4 linked regions of the Anolis sagrei genome follow. The protein of the gene in region 4 interacts with the protein of the main gene of each other region in a pairwise test. Links are inferred from orthologs where the notes say so. Each region holds a gene or a part of one and is shown on either strand. Other genes may lie near its edges.

What was found.
Region 1: the proteins of prenylated Rab acceptor protein 1 (region 4) and SNX15 interact in binary tests that used the Homo sapiens proteins (3 or more experiments, as listed by UniProt). The two-hybrid records come from large-scale screens. The link is inferred for Anolis sagrei from reciprocal best matches to the Homo sapiens genes RABAC1 and SNX15.
Region 2: the proteins of prenylated Rab acceptor protein 1 (region 4) and DUSP12 interact in binary tests that used the Homo sapiens proteins (3 or more experiments, as listed by UniProt). The two-hybrid records come from large-scale screens. The link is inferred for Anolis sagrei from reciprocal best matches to the Homo sapiens genes RABAC1 and DUSP12.
Region 3: the proteins of prenylated Rab acceptor protein 1 (region 4) and NIF3L1 interact in binary tests that used the Homo sapiens proteins (3 or more experiments, as listed by UniProt). The two-hybrid records come from large-scale screens. The link is inferred for Anolis sagrei from reciprocal best matches to the Homo sapiens genes RABAC1 and NIF3L1.

The regions. Positions count from the first base shown.
Region 1 is NC_090032.1:21,597,075-21,604,838, reverse strand, and holds the start of SNX15 (sorting nexin-15), read left to right. Parts: upstream 1-4,652; 5' UTR 4,653-4,720; coding exon 4,721-4,819; intron 4,820-7,764. UniProt on the Homo sapiens protein: May be involved in several stages of intracellular trafficking. Overexpression of SNX15 disrupts the normal trafficking of proteins from the plasma membrane to recycling endosomes or the TGN.
Region 2 is NC_090022.1:199,091,011-199,098,000, forward strand, and holds the start of DUSP12 (dual specificity protein phosphatase 12), read left to right. Parts: upstream 1-3,862; 5' UTR 3,863-3,889; coding exon 3,890-4,365; intron 4,366-6,990. Other genes in the region: GDAP2 (ganglioside-induced differentiation-associated protein 2), read left to right, coding at 1,690-1,734. UniProt on the Homo sapiens protein: Dual specificity phosphatase; can dephosphorylate both phosphotyrosine and phosphoserine or phosphothreonine residues. Can dephosphorylate glucokinase (in vitro).
Region 3 is NC_090021.1:176,902,522-176,910,392, reverse strand, and holds the start of NIF3L1 (NIF3-like protein 1), read right to left. Parts: upstream 3,039-7,871; 5' UTR 2,933-3,038; intron 1,700-2,932; 5' UTR 1,692-1,699; coding exon 1,256-1,691; intron 1-1,255. Other genes in the region: PPIL3 (peptidyl-prolyl cis-trans isomerase-like 3), read left to right, coding at 5,283-5,285. UniProt on the Homo sapiens protein: May function as a transcriptional corepressor through its interaction with COPS2, negatively regulating the expression of genes involved in neuronal differentiation.
Region 4 is NC_090035.1:83,784,853-83,792,061, forward strand, and holds the start of prenylated Rab acceptor protein 1, read left to right. Parts: upstream 1-4,078; 5' UTR 4,079-4,183; intron 4,184-4,320; exon of another isoform or gene 4,321-4,377; intron 4,378-6,661; 5' UTR 6,662-6,672; coding exon 6,673-6,752; intron 6,753-7,209. Other genes in the region: cornifelin homolog, read left to right, coding at 1,889-1,978. UniProt on the Homo sapiens protein: General Rab protein regulator required for vesicle formation from the Golgi complex. May control vesicle docking and fusion by mediating the action of Rab GTPases to the SNARE complexes.

The sequences.
Region 1 (7,764 bases), on a different chromosome or scaffold from region 4:
CCACAGATGCAGGCGAAAGGTCAGTAGGTAATGCTACAAAGCACCCCTGACAGGTGGCATTGAATATATTTTTGCAGCTACAAAGCCTGGCTGCTCCCTGCCTGGGAGAAAGTGTTAGCTGGCTCTGATTGTTTCTTGTCTGGATGCCATTAGGCACAGATGCAGGCGAAAGGTCAGGAGAGAATGCTTCTGGAAGGTGGCCAGGCAGCCTGGGAATGTCGCAGCCCCCCAGCCTGAAAGTCTACGGTGATTGGGATTCCTCCAGAGGGGGAGAAGGGAGGGAAGGCCGAGCAGGGCGGGCAGGGCCTACTTTTCCCCCTTCCCTCCCCGGCCCTCCTCCCCTTGGTCTCCCCGGGAGGCCCCTTCCCTCTCCGCCGGCCCTTCCTTCCTCCCTTCCCGGCCCGCTCCCCTTCCCGGCCCCGCCAGGCCTCCCTCCCGGGCTCACTCTCTCCTCCTCAGGGCCACCCGCGCCGCCATCTTGGATCCATCCGGGCACTTGACTCCGCCCTCCCTCCTTCCCCCCGCCTCCCTTCGCTGGAGGAACATCCGGGCACTTCACTTGACTCCGCCCTCCCTCTGGAGACTCTCTGGAGCGGCGCCGCATCCTGGGACTTTTTTTCGCAGCAGGCCGGAAGTGACGACGACGGGAAAGACCGTGGCGCTACATCCGGGGATTGTTTTGCCTAGGAAGCCGGAAGTGCCGACCAGAGAGTCATAGAATCATAGAATACTAGAATCCAAGAGTTGGAAGAGACCTCCTGGGCCATCCAGTCCAACCCCATTCTGCCAAGAAGCAGGAATATTGCATTCAAAGCACCCCTGACAGATGGCCATCCAGCCTCTGGTTATAAGCCTCCAAAGAAGGAGCCTCCACCACACTCCAGTGCAGAGAGTTCCACTGCTGAACGGCTCTCAGTCATGGGCCATCATCCAGCCCAACCCCATTCTGCCAAGAAGCAGGAATGTTGCATTCAAATCACCCCTGACAGATGGCCATCCAGCCTCTGTTTAGAAGCTTCCAAAGAAGGAGCCTCCACCACACTCCCTCCGGGGCAGAGAGTTCCACTGCTGAACGGCTCTCACAGTCATGGGCCATCCTCCAGTCCAACCCCATTCTGCCAAGAAGCAGGAATGTTGCATTCAAATCACCCCTGACAGATGGCCATCCAGCCTCTGTTTAAAAGCTTCCAAAGAAGGAGCCTCCACCACGTTCCGGGGCAGAGAGTTCCACTGCTGAACGGCTCTCACAGTCATGGGCCATCCTCCAGTCCAACCCCATTCTGCCAAGAAGCAGGAAAATTGCATTCAAATCACCCCTGACAGATGGCCATCCAGCCTCTGTTTCAAAACTTCCAAAGAAGGAGCCTCCACCACACTCCGGGGCAGAGAGTTCCACTGCTGAACGGCTCTCACAGTCATGGGCCATCCTCCAGTCCAACCCCATTCTGCCAAGAAGCAGGAATGTTGCATTCAAATCACCCCTGACAGATGGCCATCCAGCCTCTGTTTAGAAGCTTCCAAAGAAGGAGCCTCCACCACACTCCCTCCGGGGCAGAGAGTTCCACTGCTGAACGGCTCTCACAGTCATGGGCCATCCTCCAGTCCAACCCCATTCTGCCAAGAAGCAGGAATGTTGCATTCAAATCACCCCTGACAGATGGCCATCCAGCCTCTGTTTAAAAGCTTCCAAAGAAGGAGCCTCCACCACGTTCCGGGGCAGAGAGTTCCACTGCTGAACGGCTCTCACAGTCATGGGCCATCCTCCAGTCCAACCCCATTCTGCCAAGAAGCAGGAAAATTGCATTCAAATCACCCCTGACAGATGGCCATCCAGCCTCTGTTTCAAAACTTCCAAAGAAGGAGCCTCCACCACACTCCGGGGCAGAGAGTTCCACTGCTGAACGGCTCTCACAGTCATGGGCCATCCTCCAGTCCAACCCCATTCTGCCAAGAAGCAGGAATATTGCATTCAAATCACCCCTGACAGATGGCCGTCCAGCCTCTGTTTCAAAGCTTCCAAAGAAGGAGCCTCCACCACACTCCGGGGCAGAGAGTTCCACTGCTGAACGGCTCTCACAGTCATGGGCCATCATCCAGTCCAACCCCATTCTGCCAAGAAGCAGGAATATTGCATTCAAATCACCCCTGACAGATGCCCATCCAGCCTCTGTTTAAAAGCTTCCAAAGAAGGAGCCTCCACCACACTCCAGGGCAGAGAGTTCCACTGCTGAACGGCTGTCACAGTCAGGAAGTTCTTCCTCATGTTCAGATGGAATCTCCTCTCTTGTAGTTTGAAGGAATTGTTCCCTTGCGTCCTAGTCTCCAAGGAAGCAGAAAACAAGCTTGGTCCCTCCTCCTCCCTGTGGCTTCCTCTCACATATTTATACATGGCTATCATGCCTCCTCTCAGCCTTCTCGTCTTCAGGCTAAACATGCCCAACTCCTTTAGCCGCTCCTCATAGGGCTTGTTCTCCACACCCTTGATCATTTTAGTCGCTCTCCTCTGGACACATTCCAATCTAGTATGGCTACAGTAAATCCAATGATTTACTAATTTCTACATCTGTAAATTGGGAAAAAAATATAATACATACCATTAGAAAATGCGTTACTTGGTTAGTAGAGAAGTAAGTTGGTCTTGCACTGATGGAAGTTGCACCACATCAGCTGTCCAAATTTATAAATGGCCCTATTTATACAGTTATGCATTTTCTAAGAGGTCTATTCTTAAAATCCAAAATCTAACAATGACTATTTTTAATATTTATCCTTACCAAACTAACCTGAGCAACATCATGGAGTTTTCATAAAAAAACAGAATGGGAGCATTCATTACAAAAAAGCAAATACTGAGTATTTTTCTAAGACGTGATTGATTGACAGTACCGCAAATAGGGGAGGGGTGATTGATTGGAGCCAACGTGATTGATTGACAGTTCTGCAACAGGGGAGGGGTCTGTGTGCCCAGTGTGGTCCTGGTCCGTCATTGGTGTGGGTCGCAGTGGTCTGTGGGAGCCAACGCGATTGATTGACAGTATTGCAAATAGGTGAGCAGTGATTGATTGGAGCCAACCTGATTGATTGACATTACTGCAAATAGGGGAGGGGTCTGTGTGCCCAGTGTGGTCCTGGTCCATCATTGGTGGGGGTCGCAGTGGTGCAAGATACTCCACTTTGGCAGGAAAAACGAAATGCAAAGATACAGAATGGGGGACAATGCCTGGCTTGAGAGCAGTACGTGTGAAAATGATCTTGGAGTCCTCGTGGACAACAAGTTAAACATGAGCCAGGAATGTGATGTGGTGGCAAAAAAAGCCAATGGGATTTTGGCCTCCATCAATAGGAGCATAGTGTCTAGATCCAGGGAAGTCATGCTCCCCATGCTCTATTCCGCTTTGGTTAGACCACTTTACCTGGAATATTGTGTCCAGTTCTGGGCACCACAATTCAAGAGAGATATTGACCCTAAGCTGGAATGTGTCCAGAGGAGAGCGACTAAAATGATCCAGGGTCTGGAGAACAAGCCCTATGAGGAGCGGCTTAAGGAGCTGGGCATGTTTAGCCTGAAGAAGAGAAGGCTGAGAGGAGATATGATAGCCATGTATAAATATGTGAGAGGAAGCCACAGGGAGGAGGAGGGAGCAAGCTTGTTTTCTGCTTCCCTGGAGACTAGGACGCAAAGGAACAATGGCTTCAAACTACAAGAGAGAAGATTCCATCTGAACATGAGGAAGAACTTCCTGACTGTGAGAGCCGTTCAGCAGTGGAACTCTCTGCCCCGGAGGGAGTGTGGTGGAGGCTCCTTCTTTGGAAGCTTTTAAGCAGAGGCTGGATGGCCATCTGTCAGGGGTGATTTGAATGCAATATTCCTGCTTCTTGGCAGAATGGGGTTGGACTGGATGGCCCATGAGGTCTCTTCCAACTCTACACCATCCAAGCTGTTCAGCAGTGGAACTCTCTGCCCCGGAGTGTGGTGGAGGCTCCTTCTTTGGAAGCTTTTAAGCAGAGGCTGGATGGCCATCTGTCAGGGGTGATTTGAATGCAATATTCCTGCTTCTTGGCAGAATGGGGTTGGACTGGATGGCCCATGAGGTCTCTTCCAACTCTACACCATCCAAGCTGTTCAGCAGTGGAACTCTCTGCCCCGGAGTGTGGTGGAGGCTCCTTCTTTGGAAGCTTTGAAACAGAGGCTGGGTGGCCATCTGTCAGGGGTGATTTGAATGCAATATTCCTGCTTCTTGGCAGAATAGGGTTGGACTGGATGGCCCAGGAGGTCTCTTCCAACTCTTTGATTCTATGATTCTATGGTTCTATGGTCTGTGGGAGCCAACGTGATTGATTGACAGTACTGCAAATATTATTATTATTAGTATTGGAAGTAATAATAATTGGGGATAAATAAATAAATAGGGGAGGGGTCTTTTTTTCTTCTTTTTTTCCCCTCTTCCAGCTCTTTTTTTCCCTCTTATTATTTACTTATTAATAAAATAATAAATTCCTAGTAAAAAATTGTCAATAGTTTCTATTTATTTATTTTTTTCTGCTTGGACCAGGTTTTGCCTTTTGTAGAGGAGCCCTTATTGACCTATTGGCGTTTGCACTTTGCAGACGCTCCCTAGCCCTGTCTCCAGCCAGGAGAGGCAGGCGCGCGCAGGCGCAGTGGAGCCCTCCCTTGGCTCCAACGGGGAGGTCCCAGATTTAAAGGGGCCGCGTCACGGAAATGTCCCGCCGGGCCAAAGAGGAGTACCAGCGTTTCTACACGGTCACCGAGCCCCGCGGCCACCCCAAGGGACACACCGAGTACAAAGTCACCGCCAAGGTGGAGAGGGGGGCCTTGAAACGCACATAGACCCCAATTAAGGGTGCCTCTGAGCATGTGCAGAGACCCTTGCATTGCAATTAAAGGCTGGCTGAAAGCAATGAATAGGGAAATGCAAATTATTATTTTTGAAAGCTTATTATCATTATTATTATTGCCTCTGAGCATGTGCAGAGTGTCCCATTGCAGAAATGATAGAGCTAGGTAAAGGGAGTGATTATTATTATTATTATTATTATTATTATTATCATTGCCTCTGAGCATGTGCAAAGTGTCCCATTGCATCAATAATAGATCTGGGTAAAGGGAGTGAATATTATTGTTGTTGTTGTTGTTGCTGCCTCTGAGCATGTGCAGAGTGTCCCATTGCAGGAATGATACATCTAGGTAAAGGGAATGATTATTATTATTGTTGTTGTTGTTGTTATTATTGCCTCTGAGCATGTGCAGAGTGTCCCATTGCAGAAATGATAGATCTGGGTAGAGGGAGTGAATATTGTTGTTGTTGTTGCCTCTGAGCATGTGCAGAGTGTCTGCTTGCATAGATCTGAGTAAAGGGAATGAATAGGGAAAAGCACATTATTATTGTTGTTGTTGCTGTTGTTGACCCAAAGCTGTTCATTATTATTGTTGTTATTACTATTACTATTATTATTGTTGTTGTTATTATCATTGCCTCTGAGCATGTGCAGAGTGTCCCATTGCAGGAATGATAGATCTGGGGAAAGGGAGTGAGTATTGTTGTTGTTGTTGTTGCCTCTGAGCACGTGCAGAGTGTCTGCTTGCATAGATCTGGGTAAAGGGAATGAACAGGGAAAAGCACATTATTATTGTTGCTGTTGTTGTTGACCCAAAGCTGCTCATTATTATTGTGGTTATTACTATTACTATTGTTGTTGTTGTTGTTGCCTCTGAGCATGTGCAGAGTGTCTGATTGCATAGATCTGGGTAAAGGGAATGAATAGGGAAAAGCACATTATTCTTGTTGTTGTTGCTGTTGTTGACCCAAAGCTGCTCATTATTATTGTGGTTATTACTATTACTATTATTATTGTTGTTGTTGTTGTTGCCTCTGAGCATGTGCAGAGTGTCTGATTGCATAGATCTGTGTAAAGGGAATGAATAGGGAAAAGCACATTATTATTGTTGTTGCTGTTGTTGTTGACCCAAAGCTGCTCATTATTATTGTGGTTATTACTATTGTTGTTGTTGTTGTTGTTGTTGCCTCTGAGTATGTGCAGAGTGTCTGATTGCATAGATCTGTGTAAAGGGAATGAATAGGGAAAAGCACATTATTATTATTGTTGTTGTTGTTGTTGACCGAAAGCTGCTCATTATTATTGTGGTTATTACTATTACTGTTGTTGTTGTTGCCTCTGAGCATGTGCAGAGTGTCTGATTGCATAGATCTGGGTAAAGGGAATGAATAGGGAAAAGCACATTATTATTGTTGTTGTTGCTGTTGTTGTTGACCCATAGCTGGTCATTATTATTGTGGTTATTACTATTACTATTGTTGTTGTTGCCTCTGAGCATGTGCAGAGTGTCGGCTTGCATAGATCTGGGTAAAGGGAATGAATAGGGAAAAGCACATTATTATTATTGTTGTTGCTGTTGTTGTTGACCCAAAGCTGCTCATTATTATTGTGGTTATTACTATTACTATTATTGTTGTTATTATTATTGCCTCTGAGCATGTGCAGAGTGTCCCATTGCAGGAATGATAGATCTGGGGAAAGGGAGTGAGTATTGTTGTTGTTGTTGTTGCCTCTGAGCACGTGCAGAGTGTCGGATTGCATAGATCTGGGTAAAGGGAATGAATAGGGAAAAGCACATTATTATTATTGTTGTTGCTGTTGTTGTTGACCCATAGCTGCTCATTATTATTGTGGTTATTACTATTACTGTTGTTGTTGTTGTTGCCTCTGAGCATGTGCAGAGTGTCTGCTTGCATCGATCTGGGTAAAGGGAATGAATAGGGAAAAGCACATTATTATTGTTGTTGTTGTTGTTGACCCAAAGCTGCTCATTATTATTGTGGTTATTACTATTACTGTTATTGTTGTTGTTGTTGTTGCCTCTGAGCATGTGCAGAGTGTCTGATTGCATAGATCTGGGTAAAGGGAATGAATAGGGAAAAGCACATTATTATTGTTGCTGTTGTTGTTGACCCAAAGCTGCTCATTATTATTGTGGTTATTACTATTACTATTGTTGTTGTTGTTGTTGTTGTTGCCTCTGAGCATGTGCAGAGTGTCTGATTGCATAAAGGATAGATATGGGTCCTATCAGATGGCTTAAGGGAATTATTAATATCAAGGGAACGACTAGTAATAGTATCTATTAGTAATAATATCGATACCAAAGGGGCTTCTCGTTATCATTATTATTGCCTCTGAGCATGTGCAGAGTCTCAGCTGTATGGGATTAAATACGCAGCAATGGGTGTGATACAGTTTGCATAAATTTTGGCGCTGTGTAGAGTGAAATAAATTGGAATAATACTAATACTACTAATAATAATTATTATTATTATTTATTTATTTAAAAATTAAATTTAAAAAGTTAAATTAATTAAATTAACAAAAATAAAATATGGGTTTGATCCAGTTTGTGCAAAACAAGGAAAGCATAAATTTTGGCGCTGTATAGAGCGAAATAAATTGGAATAAATCAAATAATAATAATTATTATAATAATAGTAATAATAATTATTATTATTATTAAATAAATTGGAATAAATCAAATAATAATAATAATAATAGTAATAATAATAATAATAATAATTAAATAAATTGGAATAAATCAAATAATAATAATAATAGTAATAATAATTATTATTATATTATAATTTTAAAAATTAAATTACATTTAAAAATAAATTAAAAATTAATTTAATTTAATTTTTAAAATAAATTAAATTATTATTATTTGATTTATTCCAA
Region 2 (6,990 bases), on a different chromosome or scaffold from region 4:
GTTTTTTTTTCATATTTTCTTATTAAACTACATTATCTAAGCCAGTGATTTACTACAGACACTTTTTAAATATCTTTTGATGTAGCAGACTGGCAAAACTTAACTCAAGATTTAAAACCTCAAAGCCTATCAAATATTTATTTAAGGTTGCTCATCAAGGGGCTTCATATTTGAAGTAAGGGAGAAATAATAATAATAATTATTATTATTATTATTATTGGGAAGTGTCCAACATGTGACCCAATACAATAGCCAGCAGAGTGATCTTGTCCGCTGTGGATTATCTTGTTGTGTTTCAAATAATAATAATCATCATCATCATTATTTATACCCCGCCACCATCTCCCCGAAGGGGACTTGGGGTAGCTAACGTGAGGTCAAGCCCAAAGATACAATACAGCAAAATAAAGTGCAAAATACAACACCAAACATTACATCACAATAAAGTACATACAGTGGCAAAATAAAATAAACAAAGCAAAATAGCATAATAGAAAATTGAACACAATGGGCAGGCCAAATGGACAAGATAAAATGATAAAATGGCTGTTTTAGACATTTATGCAAATCTGTTGTTCAGGGTTTACAGTAGACTCTGCAGAAGATGCTTCAGTTGTACTTCATAAAAAGGAAAATTAGTCTGTTTAAAAAGCCTTGCAAATGCTGATTTGTTATCAGTAAATATATGGGTTTTATACCCATATAAATTTTATCAGGTCAAGAAGGGTCCTGAGTGGAAATTTTTAACGAGCACTGCTCTAGAGGACATGGCATTCTCACCATGTTTTGGGACCTTCCTGAACCCCTCAAGGGCATTGTGGGTCATTATTAGCAAAATAATCTTTTTCGGGGCCGCTGGAGGTGCAGTGGCTTAAACCAGTGAGCTGTTGAACTTGCTAACTGAAAGGTTGGCAGTTTGAATCTGGGAAGCGGGGTGAGCTCCCGCTGTTAGCCCCAGCTTCTGCCAACCTAGCTGTTTGAAAACATCAAATGTGAGTAGATCAATTGGTACCACTTCAACAGGAAGGTAACTGTGCTCTATGCAGTCGTGCCGGCCACATGACCTTGGAGGCATCTACGGACAATGGCAGCTCTTCAGCTTAGAAATGGAGATGAGCAGCATCCCCCAGAGTCAGACTCAACTAGACTTAATGTCAGGGGAAACCTTTACCGTTACTGATCTTTTTTGAGAAGTTTTTCAAAAATATGTTTGGAGCCCTGGTGGCTTTAGGGGGCACAAAAACAGCTCTGGGAAGCACATACAGCTCACAGCCATGCTTTGCCTACCCATCAGATATCACTGTGTAACACAATTTTTGTTTCTGGGTTATAATTTTCATTTCCTAATTCGTTCTATCATAAAAACATGGTAAAAGTTTATTAAAATGCAAAAAAAAAAGTTTTTGTGGGACATCTTGCAGCACACTTTGCTATAGTTTTATTTAACAAATATCTCATAGACTCTCAACCAATTCAACATAGTTTGTGGCAGCCACAAAAACAAAATACAACAACTACTTTCAAAGTAAGTACCACACAATTAAACAGGAAAGAACATTTTCAGACCAAGAACAGAATTTATTTCAGATTTTGTTACCTAATGAATGGCTGTGGTGGAAAAGATTTTCATTTAGGGATTATTTGTTTTTATGTGTACACTGCATCAATTCATCTTTTGTATCTTTACAGGAAAATGGATCATACTACTCTTACCCCTCTTCTCCGGACCTCTGACTATGCAGCCCTGCCATTCCATTTGGTTTCCGAACTCTCTATGACATGCTACATGCCAATCCCATATGCACCATGGTGGTCTAATTCATTTTCAGAGATCAGAAGGCGGGTAATCCTGCCTCTGTTATTTTTTTACAAGGAGGAATTTGGAAGAATATAAGCAATCAGTAAACTAAATCCAAATGAACTGTTTCAGATGTATCACGTAGAAAAGTTGCTAGGTGTATATGACAACAATTTTTGTATTGCACAAACTGCTTTCTCGAAAGACCCATTGGACATACTTTAATCTGACTGTGAGCGTTCTCTGCTCCCAGCCACTTCAGACCAGTTTGGAAGAAGATTCGGTTTCCATGCAACAGTGCTATATCAGATTTACATGTTGAATCCTTTATTATTGCTGCTACATTCAGAGGAATTCACTGTTAAAATATATACAGATTGGACAAAGAACTGTTTAAAATTCTAAAACAACTATAAATGTCAGCTTTGTAAATTCTCCTTAGCTTTGAATGTGGCGCTCTGCCTTTTTTTGCTGGATGATGAAAGATGCAAGAGTGCTGCTGCTTTCCTGCTAAATTGTAAAACTGAAGCAAATATCACTAATGTCTCTTGTGGTTTTTATTTCCTTTGACCTTGTTGTGATTTCTAGCTGGTATAGGGAAAACAATTAATGAAATACTGGTATTAAAATGAATTTGTTTGTATGTTCTAAAATAGGGATGGACAAAGTGCAGGCCACACACAGCCGTCGGGTTCCTCAAAAAGTGTCCCATAATCTTCAGCCCATTTTTCATTGGACTTCTTTTTACCCAACCCCAGTCAAACTCTTCCAAAACTACCAAAAATGCAGTGATCTGCTTCTCCTTATCCTCCAAATCACCAAAAACATCAAAAAAGAAAGAAAGAAAGAAAGAAAAAGAAAAGTAACCAACATAGCAGCTGAAAGTTATGTTGTATAACATCAGGTATACCAAGATATGATGCCATGGCCCACTGTGCCAGGAGAGGCAGATAAAACTATTATTATTATTATTAATTATTAATTATTATTATTATTATTTATTATTATTATTATTATTATTTGATATACAACAAGATTAGTATACAGCAAACAAGATCACTGCTGGCTGTTGTATTGGATCACACGTCAGGCACTTCCCAAGTTTCTAGAACTGTGTGATGTATCGGTGAATAATGCATGCAGATCCAAGTAGGGGAGTCTTTTCCAGCTGACAGATGGTAATTTTGTCAGAGCCGATTGTTTTCAAGTGCAGGCCAAGGTCTTTAGGCACTGCACCCAGTGTGCCGATGACCACTGGGACCACCTTGACTGGCTTGTGCCAGAGTCTTTGCAGCTCAATCTTTTAAATCCTCGTATCATGTCAGCTTTTCCAGTTGCTTCTCATCAATCCTGCTCTCACCTGGGATTGCAACATCAACGATCCATACTTTGTTTGTATTATTAATAATAATTTGGTGCAGTGGGTTGAACCCTTGTGCTGGCAGAACTGAAGATCGACAGGTCGCAGGTTCGTATTCTGGGAGAATGTGGATGAGCTCCCTCTGTCAGCTCCAGCTCCCAATGCAGGGACATGAGAGAAGCCTCCCACAAGAATGGTAAAACATCAAAACATTGGGCATTCCCTGGGCAACGTCCTTGAAGACAGCCAATTCTCTCACACCAGAAGTGACTTGCAGTTTCTCAAGTCGCTCCTGACACACAAAGAAATTGGAAAACAAATGGTTGCAGCCCTTTGTGCAGTTGCCCACTTTTATTCTTCAATTAGTCTACAATTTTACTTGCAGGGCATTAGAATTTTTACATTGTTTCAGGAACTATATAATTGCATATTCTTTCAAAGTGGAGTTGGATTACATAGTCCTTGCAGCCCCTTCCTATTTTTAAGGTTCTTGCAAAGACATTTGACATTATGGACCGTAATGGTTTGTGGACCATCTTCCTGAAAAATGGGTGCCCTGATAAATTTGTGAATATCCTGTGGCTCCTCCACGACATGATGGCAATAGTCTTGGACAGCAGCGGCTATCAAAGTGACACATTTTAGGGTCAGAATAATTCAATTCCTCTGCGTTTGAGGTGTACCATAGAAAAGAACAGGAAAGGGTTAAGGGAGAGGCAGTGGGCGGGATCATGCAAATTACACAGCGTGGTGGAGGAAAGACAGACAATCTAGGATCCCTTGGTCTTGCTAAACTCTCCTGGAGGGTGCAACTTCTGCTTTGTGAAGATACACCGGAAGTGACGACTTCGGTCAGGGCCTTCCCACTTTCTCAAGCAAACCCGGAAGTGAAGGCTTCAGGCATGGCTTTCCCACATTCTCAGGCGAGGGAGAAGGAGGCGGCAGAGGCCATGACGACGGTGGAGGTCCTTCCGGGGCTGTACGTGGGCCCTGCAGGGAAAAGCGGGAAAGCGGCGGAGAGGCCTGCGGGCGTCACGGCCCTCTTGTCTGTGGACTCGGAGCCCCCCGGGGAAGTGGGGCTGGAGGACGTGCTGCACCTGGAGGCCCTCGACCAGCCCGGCAGCGACCTGCTGAGCCGCTTGGACCAGGCCGCCGCCTTCATCGACAGGGTCCGGGGGAAGGAGAAGGGCGCCCTCCTGGTGCAGTGGTGAGGAGGGGGGGAAGCAGGTCCTGGGACAGGCGTGGGCAAACCTCGGCCCTCCAGGTGCTTTGGACTAATTCCTCCGAGGTTTGCCCACGCCTGTCCTACAATCACAGAGTTGGAAGGGAACCCCAGGGCCAACCTCTTACCATGCAGGAACACCCACACACGCACAGATGGCCATCCAGCCTCTCTGTTGTCGAAGGCTTTCATAGCCGGACCACTGGGTTGCTGTGAGGTTTCCGGGCTGTATGGCCATGTTCCAGAAGCAGTCTCTCCTGACGTTACGCCCACATCTATGGCACGCATCCTCAGAAGATGTGAGGTCTGTTGCAGATTACCTGATGAACCAACCTGGACACAGCATATCATTTGAGAACACAGAAATGTTGGACCACTCTAACAACCACTATGTCAGGCTACACAGAGAAGCCATTGAAATCCGCATCTGTGGCAGGCATCCTCAAAGGTTGTGATCTTTGTTGGAAACTAGGCAAGTGGGGTTTATATACCTGTGGAATAATGTCCAGGGTGGGACAAAGAACTCAGACCTCACAAGCTCTGAGGATGCTTGCCATAGATGCAGGCGAAACGTCACGAGAGAATGTCTCTAGAACATTCTCTTAAACAGAGGGTCAGGTCACAGTCTCTCAAACTGTTGGAGGGCCAGATTATAATTTGAAAAATAAAGAATGAAATCCTATGCACACTGCACATATCTTATTTGTACTGCAAAAAAACATTTTAAAGCAATACAATAAATAAAATGAAAAACAATTTTAACATATAAACCTATTATTATTTCAGTCAGAAGTGTGGGCATGCTCTTGGCTGATGAGATAGGGTTGTTGTTGTGTGCTTTCAAGTCATTTCAGATTTAGGTTGCCCCTAAGCGAAGGCCGAGCAAATGACCTTGGAGGGCCATATCTGGCCCCCGGGTCTTAGTTTGAGGACCCCTGCTCTAGAACATGGCCATATAGCCCAAAAAAACCTATAACAACCAACTCTTACCTGTTTGAGGCAAGTGTGAATGCTGCAATTGATCACCTTGATTAACATTGAATAACCTTGCAGCTTCAAAGCCTGGTTGCTTCCTGCAAGGGGGAATCTTTTATTGGGAGGTTTTGGCTGGCCCTGATTGATTCTTGTCTGGAATTCCCCTGATTTCTGAGTGTTGCTCTTTATTTACTGTTCTGATTTTAGAGGTTTTTTTAAATACTGGTTGCCAGATTTTGTTTATTTTCATGGTTTCCTCCTTTCTGTTGAAATTGTCCACATGCTTGTGGATTTGAATGGCTTCTCTGTGTAGTCTGACATGGTGGTTGTGAGAGTGGTCCAGCATTTCTGTGTTCTCAAATAATATGCTGTGTCCAGGTTGGTTCATCAGGTGCTCTGCTTTGGGTGACTTCTCTGGTTGAAGTAGTCTGTAGTGCCTTTCATATCCCTTGATTTGTGTTTGGGCAATGCTGCATTTGGTGGTCCCTATGTAGACTTTTCCACAGCTGCATGGTATACGATAGACTCCTGCAGAGGTGAGAGGATCCTTCTTGTCCTTTGCTGAACGTAGCATTTGTTGGACTTTCTTAGTGGGTCTTTAGATAGTTACAAACTATCAACGGAGTCTATCATAAATCAAGAAGAATTGGATTCTGAAATGGGGTAGTCAAATAAATAGGAAAATATATAGAACTGAACCATTCTCTTTCTACGATTGTTCAATTAAAATAATATTTGAATGCAGGAAAGTACTGTTCCCAGAAGGTGGGGGGAGGGGTGTAAAATTGGTAGACACAAGTAGGAGATAAAGGTAGAATCGGCAAAGTTAAGAACACTAAGAAAATAAGATTTGATATGTATTTTGAAATGGTGATGGATTGTGATGTTATTCTACCTGTGTCTGCATTAAAAACATATTGGGGGGGAAAAGTCTACCGTATGGACAAGTCTACATAGGGACCACCAAATGAAACACCCAAACACAAATCAAGGAACATGAAAGACTGAATTCAACCAGAGAAGTCAGCTATAGCAGAGCACCTGATGAACCAACCTGGACACAGCAAATTATTTGAGAAGACAGAAATGCTGGACCACTCTAACATTCACCATGTCAGACTACACAAAGAAGCCATTGACTTCTCAGGTTGAGCCATTGACTTCTCTGCAGTGCCTTTCATGTTCTTTGATTTGTGTTTGGGCAATGCTGCATTTGGTGGTCCCTATGTAGACTTGTCCACAGGTGGACTCCCGCAGAGGTGAGAGGATCCCTCTTGTCTTTTGCTGAATGTAGCTTTTGTTGGATTTTCTTAGTGGGTCTGTAGTGGTTCAGACTTGCTTTTCTTTTGTAAACATTGAATTCTGCATTTCAGTTGGGACTTAGGTATTCAAACAGGAGCTCCCGGTAGCACGGTGGGTTAAACCACTGAGCTGCTGAACTTGCTCATCAGAAGGTTGCAGATTCAAATCTGAGGAACGGCATGAGCTTCCGCTGTTAGCCCCAGCTTCTGCCAGCCAAACAGTTCAAAAACAGGAGCCCCTGGTGACGCAGTGGGTTAAACCACTGTGCCGGCAGGACTGAGGCCCGACAGGTCACAGGTTTGAATTCGGAGAGAGCATGGGTGAGCTCCCTCT
Region 3 (7,871 bases), on a different chromosome or scaffold from region 4:
TTTCAATCAAGTTGATAATTGGTTTTAAAATTCTAGCATAATAATAATAATAATAATAATAATAATAATAATAATAATACAGTCCTAGACGCTTGGGAAGTGTTCGACTTGTGATTTTGTAAAACGAAATCCAGCATATAGATCTCGTTTGCTGTGACATACTGTGCTTTTGTGTCAATAATAATAATAATAGATAGATAGATAGATAAATACACAAGATTAGTATGCAGCAAACAAGATCACTATGCTGGCTTTTGTCACACGTTGGACACTTCCCAAGTGTCTAGGACTGTGTGACGTATCGGCAAATAATGCATGCAGGTCCGAGTTTTGGCCTTTTGCAGCTGACAAGGCAATTTTGTCAGCGTCAATTGTTTTTAAGTGCAGATCACCACTGTTTTTAAGTGCAATCACCACTGGGACCACCTTTACTGGCATGTGCCAGAGTCTTTGTATATTATTATTATTATTATTATTATTATTATTATTATTGAGCCCCTGGTGGCGTAGAGGGTTAAACCCCCTGTGCCGGCTGGATTGAAGACCGACAGGTCGCAGGTTCGAATCCGGGGAGAAGCAGATGAGCTCCCTCTATCAGCTCCAGCTCCTCATGCGGGGACATGAGAGAAGCCTCCCACAAGGATGATAAAACATCAAAAATCATCCGGGCGTCCCCTGGGCAATGTCCTTGCAGACGGCCAATTCTCTCACACCAGAAGCGACTTGCAGTTTCTCAAGTCGCTCCTGACATGACAAAAATAAATAAATAAATATTATCATTATTATTACAATGTTTATTTATACCCCGCTTTCTCTCTCCACAAGGAGACTCAAAGTGGCTTACCATAAGGAAACATGTGTAGCGTTAACTGTAGTGAAGGATGATGTCAAAACAGCTTGTCATGATGAGGACTGTCAGTCAAAGAGAGGGAATTTTGCCTACCATGGGAGGACACACAAGTCAATCACCTAATCTTCATTATGCTTCAAAGAATGGTGTGAACTTACCTTTTCATATATGCCATTGTTTAAACCATGTAATTGGTTTGCTACTCTCAGCTTCCCCTCCACACATAACTTGACACAACCATCTATAAGTAAGCCACTATTTGCGTGACGTGAGCTTGGTGCTGACATGTCAGCTTTCAGCAACAGAAAACAGTAGCATTGAGAGTAAAATTACAATGTAAATGTTTTTAAAAGACAACAGACATCATTGCCAATTCTTGAAAAATTCAGAAAAGGGATGTCTCACCAAGTCCTTTGGCAAGCCAGTTGTTGACTCCATGGGGCACAGCATCGTAGGCTGTATGGGGAGAATAAATGGCAACTCTGTTTTCCAGGGCTTGGATAATGAGACGCTCTTTCCACGTTTTCCACGTTAGGCGTTTGAGTGGCTGAAAAATGGGTGGGTGGTAAGACAGAATAAGATTGGCTTTCTTCTGGAGGGCCTCCTCCATCACTTCCTCGGTCAAGTCGTTGGTCAAAAAGAGGGTGCTGACGGTATGGGGAGGGCTTGGTTCAACCAGGAGCCCCACATTGTCCCAACTCTCAGCCAGCGACAGCGGAGCAAACCCATTGAGGGAAGAAACCAGGACCTTAAGATCCATGAAGGCTCTCAAAGGCACATCAATCCAGGACCGGACACTCAAGAGGCGCTGCGGAGTTGGCTTCAGGTAGGAGAACTGCATGCAGGTGCCTAAAGAACGCCAAAGGCAACGATACAATTAGAAATACTAGGATAAATAGTACATTCTTAGGGCCCTCCTAGACAGGCCCTATATCCCAGGATCTGATCCCAGGTTTTCTACTTTACACTGGATTATATGAGTCTGCACTACCAGATAATCAGAAATCAGGGATAAACAGAAAACTTGGGATCAAACTATGGGATATAGGGCCTGTCTGGAAGGGCCCTACAAAAAACTGGATATTTCACAAATACATCTATATAAATAAAAATATAATGTTCGTTTGTAGGATTAACATAACTCAACAACCACTGGACGAATTGCTGCCAAATTTGGCTACAAGACACCTACTAACCCATGGAGTGACCATGACTCAAAAAAATGATTTTGTCATTTGGGAGTTGTAGTTGCTGGTATTTGTAGTTCACCTACAATCAAAGAGCATTCTGAACTCCAGCAATAATGGAATTGAACCTCTGTGTAGTCTGACATGGTGGTTGTTGGTGTGGTCCAGCATTTCTGTGTTCTCAAATAATATGCTGTGTCCAGGCTGGTTCATCAGGTGCTTTGAGAACACAGAAATGCTGGACCACACCAACAACCACCATGTCAGACTACACAGAGAAGCCATTGAAATCCACAAGCATGGGGACAATTTCAACAGAAAGGAGGAGACCATGAAAATGAATAAAATATGGCTACCAGTATTAAAAAAACTCTAAAATTACAACAGCAAAACAACAGAGAGGAAACAACCAGGCACAGATTAACACCTCCCAGCAAGAGATTTTCCCAGGCTCAGGCAGGCCTTCAAATGCTAATGAAGGTGATCAGTTGAAACATTCACACCTAGCTCCAGCAGACAAGAGTCCTTTGTCTCACCCTGGTCATTCCACAGATATATAAACCCCTTTTTCCTAGTTCCAACAGACCTCACTACCTCTGAGGATGCTTGCCATAGATGCAGGCGAAACGGCAGGAGAGAATGCCTCTAGACCATGGCCATATAGCCCGAAAAAAACCTACAACAACCCTAATCCTTGACAGATGAGCAGATCTGAAAATGTACTGCCTGATCCCATAGCACTGAGCCAGGGCATAAATGTGTGGTCAAACTGCATTCATTCCTCAGTGTAGATCCATCCCAGCAACTTCCCTTCCCAATTTCCTCCCTCCTTCATTTAAAATCCCTTCCTTCCTGGTATTGGGGGGGGGGGGTTGTCTCTGAATGGCCCTCTCACCTCTCTTCCAGCCTGGGATAGACTGGGAGGGCTTCCAGCTGGAGCACGTTTTGAATGCAAGGCGGCCCTCTTCTGCTGGAGAGAGGAAGGGGGCGTGGCCTAGCGGGTGGCAGCGGGGGCGGGGCCTCACCAGGAAGTAGGAGGACGACAACAAGCAAGAGGAAAGGGGCCTTTTGGCGGGAAGAAGGTAAGTAAGCGCCCCATTGGGCCAGGCGCTTCCTGGGAAGCAGGCCCCGCTGTAGTGCAATGGGTGCCGTTTGGTCCCACTGGAACCGCCTCTTCTCAATGCTATGCAGGCCTGGGAGCTGCAGTTTGGCGTGGCATCCAGTACTCTTGGGTGGAGAAGGCGCAAGACCTTGTAAAACTACAACTCCCATGAGCAGCGAGCCATGGGATCAAAAAGCATTCATTCCACAGAGTAGAGGCGCACCCCTGATCTCTTTGCAGGAGTAAAACCTTTCCATGGTCGTTTTGAGTGAGATTTTGTGTGTATGTGTGTGTGTGTGGAGGGGGGGGGGTTGTGTGTTTTAAAATGTATTTCAGTTGAATTCATTATGTGTTTTGAACCAGTTACTTCATGCCTATCAGCCTCCTCCCAGTAGAAGGAGAAAATGGCATTCATAACCATTTGGAGATCATAACTTTTTAGATCTTTTTAGACCTTTCAGAGTAGAGCCAAAAACCCTTTAGAGGAGACCCTTCTCTTGTGGTATGCAACCAGATATAATAATGCAAGGCAATGGTTTCAGTTGTTAGACTGAATAACCTGTTATCTCTGATCTGTTAGGAAAACAGATTTTTCCAGTGCATAAAAAACAGCAGTGCTTCAGAAGTTTTTTTAGTGTCCAAAAATATTTTTTCTCTCCCATAAAAAACTCGTTTTATTTATTGATTTAAAACATTTATTTTCCGCCCTTCTCACCTCAAAGGGGACTCAGGGCGGAGAACAGCATATATACGGCAAACATTCAATGCTGGGACACATACATAAACATTAAAAACATTTATCAAAATATTAAAATACACCATTTAAAACCGTCCTAGTCATCCGCATCAAATCATTGGCCTGGTCATCTTTCCTATTGCCGCTTTATTGCCCTGTCCCGAAAGCTTGGTCCCAGAGTCAAGTTTTTACCATCCTTCTAAAGGACAGGAGAGAGGGGGCCGACCTGATCTCACCAGGAAGGGAGTTCCATAGCCGGGGAACAATCACCGAGAAGGCCCTGTCTCTCGTCTCCACCAATCGTGCCTGTGACAATGGCGGGACGGAAAGCAGGGACTCCCCAGAGGATCTTAATCTCCGTGATGGTTCATAGGGGGAGATGCGTTCGGACAGGTAATTTGGGCCGGGTAATTTGGGCATAACATGGGAGTTGTATGCTCCCTGTATGCCGCCTCAGTTATTAACCTGGCTGCCTCTCATTGGACTATTTGAAGTTTCCGAGCAGTCTTCAAAGGCAACCCCATGTAGAGTGCGTTGCAGTAGTCTATCCTAGATGTAACGAGAGCGTGGACCACTGTGGCCAAGTCTGACTTCCCAAGGTACAGGTGCAGCTGGCGCACAAGTTTTAATTGTGTGAACACTCCCCTGGCCACCGCTGCAACCTGGGATTCCAGGCTCAGTGATTAATATCATGCACTCTAGACAAAAATGAAGTAGAGTTAGTTAAAAATAACATACTTGGTTTATTCACAACTTCATGTATTCAGAATACACATGTACATAACTATCAATGCATGAAAAGCACAATCAAAGTACCCCTGACAGTTCAAATACTCCTATTTGAACTTTTTTTAGCATAGTGGATCTAGACTTTATGTATAAGGTGTATATACTTAGGTCCTGTCTCCAAGATATCTCATTATCTACTTCTGTACATGCAGATATTCTGAAATCCAAAACTCTTCTGGTCCCAATCATTTTGGATAAGAACTCTTTAACCTTGCAAATAGTACATGCCTCTGCCCTTTTAAAATAATGCCAATTCTTCCGGGTTTTTAAAAACCATGCTAATGTTAAATTCAGTTTTAATTGACTTGTTGCAGGAAAAACAGAGCTTTTGGCACCTTAGAAACTGACAGATGCATTATAGCTTTAACATTTTGGATTGCTTTTCATGTCATAATAAATATGCTAATCTTTCTCAACTGTGGGATTCAGTCTGGTCACTCTGCTAAAAACAAAAATAGTACAATCATTCTCATCCAAGTGGTTCCTCCATGCCTTTACTACTAGAGCAATATTGCTTTTAGCATGCAAAGCCACATTTCCACTCATTATAGCTATTTTTTCTGGTTTTTTTGCAGAAACTCTTCAGGTGGCTCTGATTTGAATTCCTTGTCTGCACAGATGGTGAGGCTGGTTGTTTCAATATCTTCTTCCTAACTGCGTGCAAGGTATTCCTTGAGAAACAGGTAGCTGTCTATTTAGAAACACACTATTTTAGAGTATACAGGCAGTCCTCAAGTTACAAACAAGATTCTGTAGGTTTGTTGTTGTTGTTGTTCATTCGTTCAGTCATCTCCGACTCTTCGTGACCTCATGGACCAGCCCACGCCAGAGCTCCCTGTCGGCCGTCACCACCCCCAGCTCCTTCAAGGTCAGTCCAGTCACTTCAAGGATGCCATCAATCCATCTTGCCCTTGGTCGGCCCCTCTTCCTTTTGCCTTCCACTTTCCCCAGCATAATTGTCCTCTCTAGGCTTTCCTGTCTCCTCATGATGTGGCCAAAGTACTTCAACTTTGTCTCTAGTATCCTTCCCTCCAATGAGCAGTCAGGCTTTATTTCCTGGAGGATGGACTGGTTGGATCTTCTCGCAGTCCAAGGCACTCTCAGCACTTTCCTCCAGCACCACAGCTCAAAAGCATCGATCTTCCTTCGCTCAGCCTTCCCTAAGGTCCAGCTCTCACATCCATAGGTTACTACAGGGAAGACCATGGCTTTGACTAGGCGGATCTTTGTTGCCAGTCTGATGTCTCTACTCTTTACTATTTTATCGAGACTGGACATTGCTCTCCTCCCAAGAAGTAAGCGTCTTCTGATTTCCTGGCTACAGTCTGCATCTGCAGTAATCTTTGCACCTAGAAATACAAAGTCTGTCACTTTGTAGGTTTGTTATGAAGTTGAATTTGTATGTTTAATTAGAACAGAAACATTTTTAAGCGTATCTCCATCTACCCCTCCCCCCATATATAAGCTTTGGACAGCATAGGGAAAGGTTAAAACCCCTGTGGCATTTGTTTTGCTGTCTGTGCCCCTATTCAGATTTTGGAAAAAATGTTTTTTTGCGGAAACAGGATTGGTAATAAAACTTCTGTTGAGACACCTTTTTCCCATGATGATGTTGTCAAGCCATGGCACACCCCCTCCAAAAGGTTATGAACAATAAAAAGACCCCAAGCAAGAAATATGATTTTTTCTTTAATTTTAAAACATTTCCCACCCATTCAGAGATTTGCGATATTGAAGCCGCAGAGGATCTAGCTAGAACTGTGTCCCAAACTCTATCAAAGCTTAACCCCTTAATGCAGGGGTCCTCAAACTAAGGCCCGGGGGCCGGATGCGGCCCTCCAAGGTCATTTACCTGGCCCTCGCTCAGGGTCAACCTAAGTTTGAAAAGACTTGAAAGCACACAACAACAACAAATATAACAATCCTATTTCATCAGCCAAAAGCAGACCCACACTTCCCATTGAAATACTAATAACTTTATATTTGTTAAAATTGTCCTTCATTTTAATTATTATATTCTTTTAAAGTGTCTTTTGCACTACAAATAAGATATGTGCAGTGTGCATAGGAATTCATTCATGTTTTTTTCAAATTATAATCCAGCCCTCCAACAGTTTGGGGGACTGTGACCTGGCCCTCTGTTTAAAAAGTTTGAGGACCCCTGCCTTAATGAATGTATAAAAATGCTACTCTCTGTGTAACTTGTATTGCTTATGTACTGTATCAATATCTAAATGTATAAACTTGTATCAAATGTAGCCTGAAGGTATCTGCTGCCCCAATGCCCCCTGTTTGCATAAGCTCCTGGGAACGGAAATTGCTATATAAAACAAGGATCTCCCAAGCCAGATAAAATCCTTTGTGTATGTATGTGAGACAGATGATCTGATCCTTTTGCTACAAAGATATGCTTAGGATGTTTTCCTGTTCAAATGAGGATGGAGGCTGCCATTCTCATGGAAGTGAAAGCTAAACAAATATGAATACATTAATCTTCTGAATAGGCAGCCCAGCCTCTTGTTATTTGGGATTATCATCTTTTGTCCTGTGGGTCTTGCACCTTTGTCTCTCTGGAACTGGACACTTAAGTCAATCAAGATCAAAGAATCATCTGAATACTTATGTCATCCCTTCCCTCAGTTTTGTGCCCTTCCAGCGGGTGTCTCTGCAACAAACTGGACCTTTAAAGTGACCAAACATCAGTTGTTGTTCTTCTTGCTGCCATGGGGATCTCCTCCTCCTGTCAGTGACATCAGGGAAACCCCTGGCCAATCCCTGTGTCAAATCATCCGGGCGTCCCCTGAGCAACGTCCTTGCAGACGGCCAATTCTCTCACACCAGAAGTGACTTGCAGTTTCTCAGGTTGCTCCTGACACGACAAAAAAAAATCCCTGTGTGGATCCTATTCGGCAAGGTTTCTCAGCCAGTCAGGGGGAGGCATAGGAGCTCCCGGGAGTGCAGTGGGTTAAACCCCTGTGCCAGCAGGACTGAAGACCGACAGGTCGCAGGTTCGAATCCGGGGAGAGTGCGGATGAGCTCTCTCTGTCAGCTCCAGCTCCTCATGTGGGGACATGAGAGAAGCCTCCCACAAGGATGATAAAACATCAAAACATCCGGGCGTCCCCTGGGCAACGTCCTTGCAGACGGCCAATTCTCTCACACCAGAAGCGACTTGCAGTTTCTCATGTCGCTCCTGACACGACCAAA
Region 4 (7,209 bases):
CAACAACAACAACAGAACCACAGAATGCTAGAGTTGGAAGGGACCCCAAGGTGCAAATAATAATAATAATAATAATAATAACAACAACAACAACAACAGAACCACAGAATGCTAGAGTTGGAAGGGACCCCAAGGTGCAAATAATAATAATAATAATAATAATAATAACAACAACAACAACAACAGAACCACAGAATGCTAGAGTTGGAAGGGACCCCAAGGTGCAAATAATAATAATAATAATAATAACAACAACAACAACAACAACAGAACCACAGAATGCTAGAGTTGGAAGGGGCCCCAAGGTGCAAATAATAATAATAATAATAATAATAATAATAATAATAACAACAACAACAACAACAACAACAACAACAGAACCACAGAATGCTGGAGTTGGAAGGGACCCCAAGGTGCAAATAATAATAAGGTATATCATCTGATCCCTCCCAGCAGATGTCCATCCAGCCTGTGTTTCAAGGCTTCCATAGAACGCTAGAGTTGAAAGGGGCCCCAAGGTGCATCTAGGACCTCATCACACTAGAGTGTCTATCCACTTTCTGGTTGCTCCCTCCTGTAGAATTCTGGGGTTTGTAGTTTAGGGAGGGGCCTTTAAACTACAGCGCCAGAGAGGTCCTGGGCCTCCCTAAACTACAAACCCCAGAATGCTGCAGGAGGGAGCAACTGGATGCTCTAGTGTGATGAGGTACCAATAATAATGATGATAATAATAATAGAACCACAGAATGCTTGAGTAATAAGGAACCCCCACGGTGCATCTAATAATAATGATGATGATGATGATGATGATGATAATAGAACGATAGAATGCTAGAGTAATAAGGGACCCCACAGTGCATCTAATAATAATAATAATAATAATAATAATAATAATAATAATAATAGAACCATAGAATGCTAGAGTTTTAAGGGACCCCACGGTGCATCTAATAATGATGATGATGATGATGATGATGATGATAATAATAATAATAATAATAATAATAATAGAACCATAGAATGCTTGAGTAATAAGGGATCCCCACAGTGCATCTAGTAATAATGATAATAATAATAATAATAATAATAATAATAATAATAATAACACTAGAACCATAGAATGCTAGAGTTTTAAGGGATCCCACGGTGCATCTAATAATAATGATGATGATAATAATAATAATAATAATAATAATAGAACCATAGAATGCTTGAGCAATAAGGGACCCCCACAGTGCATCTAATAATAATGATAATAATAATAATAATGATGATAATGATAATAATAGAACCACAGAATCCTAGAGTTGGAAGGGACCCCAAGATGCATCTAATAATAAGGTGCATCATTTGATCCCTCCCAACAGATGCCCATCCATCCTGTGTTGAAGACCTCCATAGAATCCCAGATTTGGAAGGGACCCCAAAGGGGGATCTGGTCCAACCCCATTCTGTCTGGCAGGAAGACCCCATCCAATCCCTCTTTACAGAGGGCCATTCAGCCAAAGCCAAATGGCCATAGATATCATATAGTTAGATAAGATGCTAGATATATAATTGAATCCTAGAGTTGAAAGAGACCCTCATCCGATCCCTTTTTACAGAGGGCCATTCAGCCAAAGCCAGATTGCCGTAGATCTCATATAGAAGAGGGATAAGATGCTAGATACATAATTGAATCCTAGAGTTGAAAGAGACCCTCAAGGGCCACCCAGTCCAACTGCTAGGAATACACCACTCGATTCATCCTGACAGAGGGCTGTCCACATCTGTGACAACAACAACAACAACAACCACAACATTCTGCTTTGAGTCTTTTTTAAGAGAGGAAACAAGGATATAATTCATAATTAATGATGATAATAATAACAATAATGTTTCCCCGCAGGGCTCCATCTGTTCGGACTGGGTGGTGATGTCCTGCTGCCCGCTCTGCGGACTCTGCCAGCTCTCCAGGGAACTCAACAACAAGAACTGAGGACGCGAAGCCGGAATCCGAACACAGGACCACATTCCCACCACACAAACAGGAGTCTTAATAAATAAAATGTATACCTTGGTATAGATAATTTCCCCGACCTGTGCCTCTTTTTTGTTTCATTGGGGGAAGATTTGAGATGAATGTGGAGCTGGTGGGGCCAAACGATGACTCCCATGGTTCCTGTAAGAAATCCACATATAAAATGAGTTAACTTGGGGGTCCCTTTAACACATATAGTGCTACGATTTCACATCCTATGGAATCCTGGGACTTCTATTTATTTATTTATTTATTTATTTATTTAACTGGATTTTTTTAGTGCTGTATGTGTTTAATTCTATTTTAATGTTTGTGTTTTTGTATATTTTAATGTATACTAAGATCTTTATATCAAGCCACTTTGAGTTCTAGAAATAATAATAGTAATAATAATAATAATAATAAGCCAGTCAAGGTGGTCCCAGTGGTGATCGGCACACTGGGCGCAGCGCCTCGAGACCTTGGCCTGCACTAAAACACAATCGGCGTTGACAAGATTACCACCTGCCAGCTGCAGAAGGCCACCTTACTGGGATCTGCACACATTATTCGGCGATACATCACACAGTCCTAGAAACTTGGGAAGGGTCCGATGTGTGATCCAAGACAACAGCCAGCGGAGCGTCTGCTGTGGACTCATGTTGTGGTGTTTCTAATAATAATAATAATAATAATAATGGAAATGAAATATACAAATACCAATAATAATAATAATAATAATGTAGGAAAATGAAATATATCAATATAATAATAATGTCAATATAACGGTAATAAAGTAGGAAATGAAATATACCAATAATAATAATAATGTAGGAAAATGAAATATGCCAATAATAATATTAGTAGTAGTAATGTAGGGAAATGAACTGTATCAATAATAATAATAATAATAATAATGTAGGAAAATGAAATATATCAATAATAATAATAATGTAGTAAAATGAAATATATAATTAATAATAATAATAGTAATGTAGGGAAATGAAATATATCAATGCTAATAATAATGCCAATATAACAGTAATAATGTTGGAAAATGAAATATACCAATAATAATAATAACAATGTAGGAAAATGAAATATACTAATATAATACCACTAATATTGTAAGAATATGAAAATAATAATAATAATAATAATAATAATAATGATATAGGAAAATGAAATATCCCAGTAATAATAATAATAATGTAGGAAAATGAAATATATTAATATAAGACTACTAATACTGTAAGAATATGAAAATAATAATAATAATAATGAGATAGGAAAATGAAATATGCCAATAATAATATTAGTAGTAGTAATGTAGGGAAATTAACTGTATCAATAATAATATTAATAATAATAATGTAGGAAAATGAAATATATCAATAATAATAACAATAATGTAAGAAAATGAAGTATATAATTAATAATAATAATAGTAATGTAGGGAAATGAAATATATCAATGCTAATAATAATGTCAATATAACAGTAATAATGTAGGAAAATGAAATATACCAATAATAATAATAATGTCAATATAACAGTAATAATGTTGGAAAATGAAATATACCAATAATAATAATAACAATGTAGGAAAATGAAATATACTAATATAATACCACTAATATTGTAAGAATATGAAAATAATAATAATAATAATAATGATATAGGAAAATGAAATATCCCAGTAATAATAATAATAATAATGTAGGAAAATGAAATATATTAATATAAGACTACTAATATTGTAAGAATATGAAAATAATAATAATGATGATATAGGAAAATGAAATATGCCCATAATAATAATAATAATAACAGGAAGAAGGAATAAAATATTCCAAGAGAAAGAGAGAAGAAGAAAAAGGAAAATAAATAGGGAAAAGATAAATAAGGAAATTAGTTCCTAAAGGAGCAAATATTCCATTGCCTAAAGGGAAACAACACAACTCTAGGCCAGAGAGGCTTCTGTGGCTGAGGAGAAAGCCAGGCCTGCTGGGAGTGGTAGTCCGCGCCGCTCTGGAGCCAGGCCTGCGTCTTCCTTGGCGAGGGAGGCGCGAGACTACACTTCCCGGCAGGCTCCGCGGCCAGGGGAGGCGGTGTCACTTTAGCCCCGCCCCCTCCGGGTTGCCACGCAGGCTTGGCGCCGCCGGACGGACCGAGGAGAAAGCAGGTGAGCGCTCCCTCGCGAGGAGGGGGGAGGCGGTTGCTAGGGGCAACCAGAGCATCCTGGAGGGCCACGACTAGGCCCGAAGCCCTTGGTTTCCTGTTGTGGGGACCCGCCTTGGGGCCCCATCTTCTGGGCGAAGGCAGGCAGGGGCTTTTTGGGAGGAGGGGGTCTCTCTCCAGGAAAACCTCCCCTGCAAGGTAGGCCCCAAAAGCCTTGCCCCTATAGCTCTGTCTGTACATTGTACATGCCATAGAGATCTAGCTATAGAGATATACATACACACAGGTACATTGCATGCCCCAGGCATCTCTCTCTCTCTCACTATCTCCCTCTTGTCCTTGTTCCTGTCTGTATGTCCATTGAATGACCCCAACCATATATATATATACGCACACACATATACATATACACATGTACATTGAATGCCCCAGACCTACACACACACACATATGCACACACACATATATATTGAATATATAGTTACACACACATATATGGATAAACATACATATATATAGGTAGATATATATACACACACACATTGATATACATACATGTACATTGAATACCCCAGACCTACACACCCTCACACACATATGCACACACACATATATATTGAATATATACTTACACACACATATACGGATAAACATACATATATATAGGTAGATATATACACACACACACATTGATATACATACATGTACATTGAATACCCCAGACCTACACACCCTCACACACATATGCACACACACACATATATATTGAATATATAGTTACACACACATATACAGATAAACGTACATATATATAGGTAGATATATACACACACATATTGATATACATACACACATGTACATTGAATGCCCCAGATCTATACACATACACATGTATGCACATACACATATATATTGAATATAGACATACTTACTACTGTTGCGGTTAGGTGATCCCTCGTTTTCCGAGGAGGATTGTCTTCCAGTGTTCTTGTGGGTCCGTATGTGGCTGTGGAGCCCTATTCTTGACCCGCATCTTCTCCCTCAGTGAGGGCATTGGTTTCCAGGTGGAAGGCGGTCTCGGTCGGGGTTGGCTTGACACGCCTTCCTCCTGGCACGTTTCTCTCTTTCACTCTCCATTTGTGCCTCTTCAAATTCTGCAGCACTGCTGGTCACAGCCGATCTCCAGCTGGAGCGCTCAAGGGCCAGGGCTTCCCAGTTCTCAGTGTCTATGCCAGAGGTTTGTAGGTTGGCTTTGAGCCCATCTTTCAATCTCTTTTCCTGTCCTCCAACATTCCGTTTTCCGTTCTTGAATTCGGAGTAGAGTAACTGCTTTGGGAGATGGTGGTTGGGCATCCAGACAACGTGGCTGGTCCAGTGGAGTTGATGGCGGAGGACTATCGCTTCAATGCTGGTGGTCTTTGCTTCTTCTTCCAGCATGTTGACATTTCCCTGCCTGTCTTCCCAGGAGATTTGCAGGATTTTCCGAAGGCAGCGGTGATGGAATCGTTCCAGGAGTTGCATGTGACATCTGTAGACAGTCCATGTTTTGCAGGCGTAAAGCAGGGTTTGGAGGACAATAGCTTTATCAACAAGCACCTTGGTATCCCTACGGATGTCTCAGAAAAATGCTGCACTTAGAAAAATGCTGCACTTGCAGAGTTCAGGCGGTGTTGTATTTCTGTGTCGATGTTGACTTTGGTGGAGAGGTGGCTGCCAAGGGAGCGGAAATGGTCCACATTTTCTAATGAAACTGTATCTCTGGCATTGGGGAGGGGGTGGCTGGTGACTGCTGGAACAGCACTTTGGTTTTCTCGATGTTCAGTGACAGGCCGAGCTTCTCGTATGCTTCTGCAAAGGTGTTTAGTTAGAGTGGCTTGTAGATCTTCTTCTGAATGCGCACATACGACGTTGTCATCAGCATACTGGAGACATACTTACACATATGTGTAGATAAACATATATATAGGTAGATATATTCACATGTAAGATGGCTTTTAAGCAACCTTTAATGTGAATATAAGTGATTTTAATTTTTGTATATATTTATGGTTTTATGTCCTGGCATTGAATGTTTGCCGTATATATGTTGTGCTCTGCCCTGAGTCCCCTAAGTTGAGGTGTAAAGGGCAGAATATAAATGTTTTAAATATATATTGCACATACACATATATTGATATATACACACATATATAGGTAAATATGCACACACATTAACATAACTCAAAAACCACTGGATGAATGGACACCAAATTTGGACACAATACACTTATCAGGCCAACGAGCGACCATCACTCAGAAAAACACTGAAAAACACAACAGAAGGGACTTAAAAAGCAAAAAACAATACATTACAATGCATCCGCAGAACCACATATACACGGATATACAAACACATATATACAGACTGGGCCACAGCAACATGTGGCAGGGGATGGCTAGTATATAAAATAAATACTAACTTTACTCTCTTTTTGTCCTACAGACGGGATCAGAATGGCGAGCAAAACCAGTCCGGAGCATCTCTTCAATCCGGCCACGGAGATGGAGACGGCCGGGACAGTGCTGGGCACCAAGTAAGGGTCAAGGAATATTATGACATGATGCATCCATCCTTCCACATACCATCATTTGGGGGAAAGGATGCTTTTAGGCCCAGAAATCATTTATGGGGCACTTCCTGCACCTGTTGATAGATAGATAAAAAGATAGATAGATAGATAGATAGATAGATAGATAGATACCCTGTTTCCCCAAAAATAAGACAGCGTATTATATTAATTTCAGCTCCCAAAGATGCACTACGTCAGTGTTTCTCAACCTGGGGGTCGGGATCCCTGAGGGGGTCATGAGGGGGTGTCAGAGGGGTCGCCAAAGACCATCAGAAAACACAATATTTTCTGGTGGGCATCGGGATTCTGTGTGGGAAGTTTGGCCCAATTCTATCATTTGTGGGGTTCAGAATGCTCTTTGATTGCAGGTGAACTATAAATCCCAGCAACTACACCTCCCAAATGATAAAAATCAATCCAG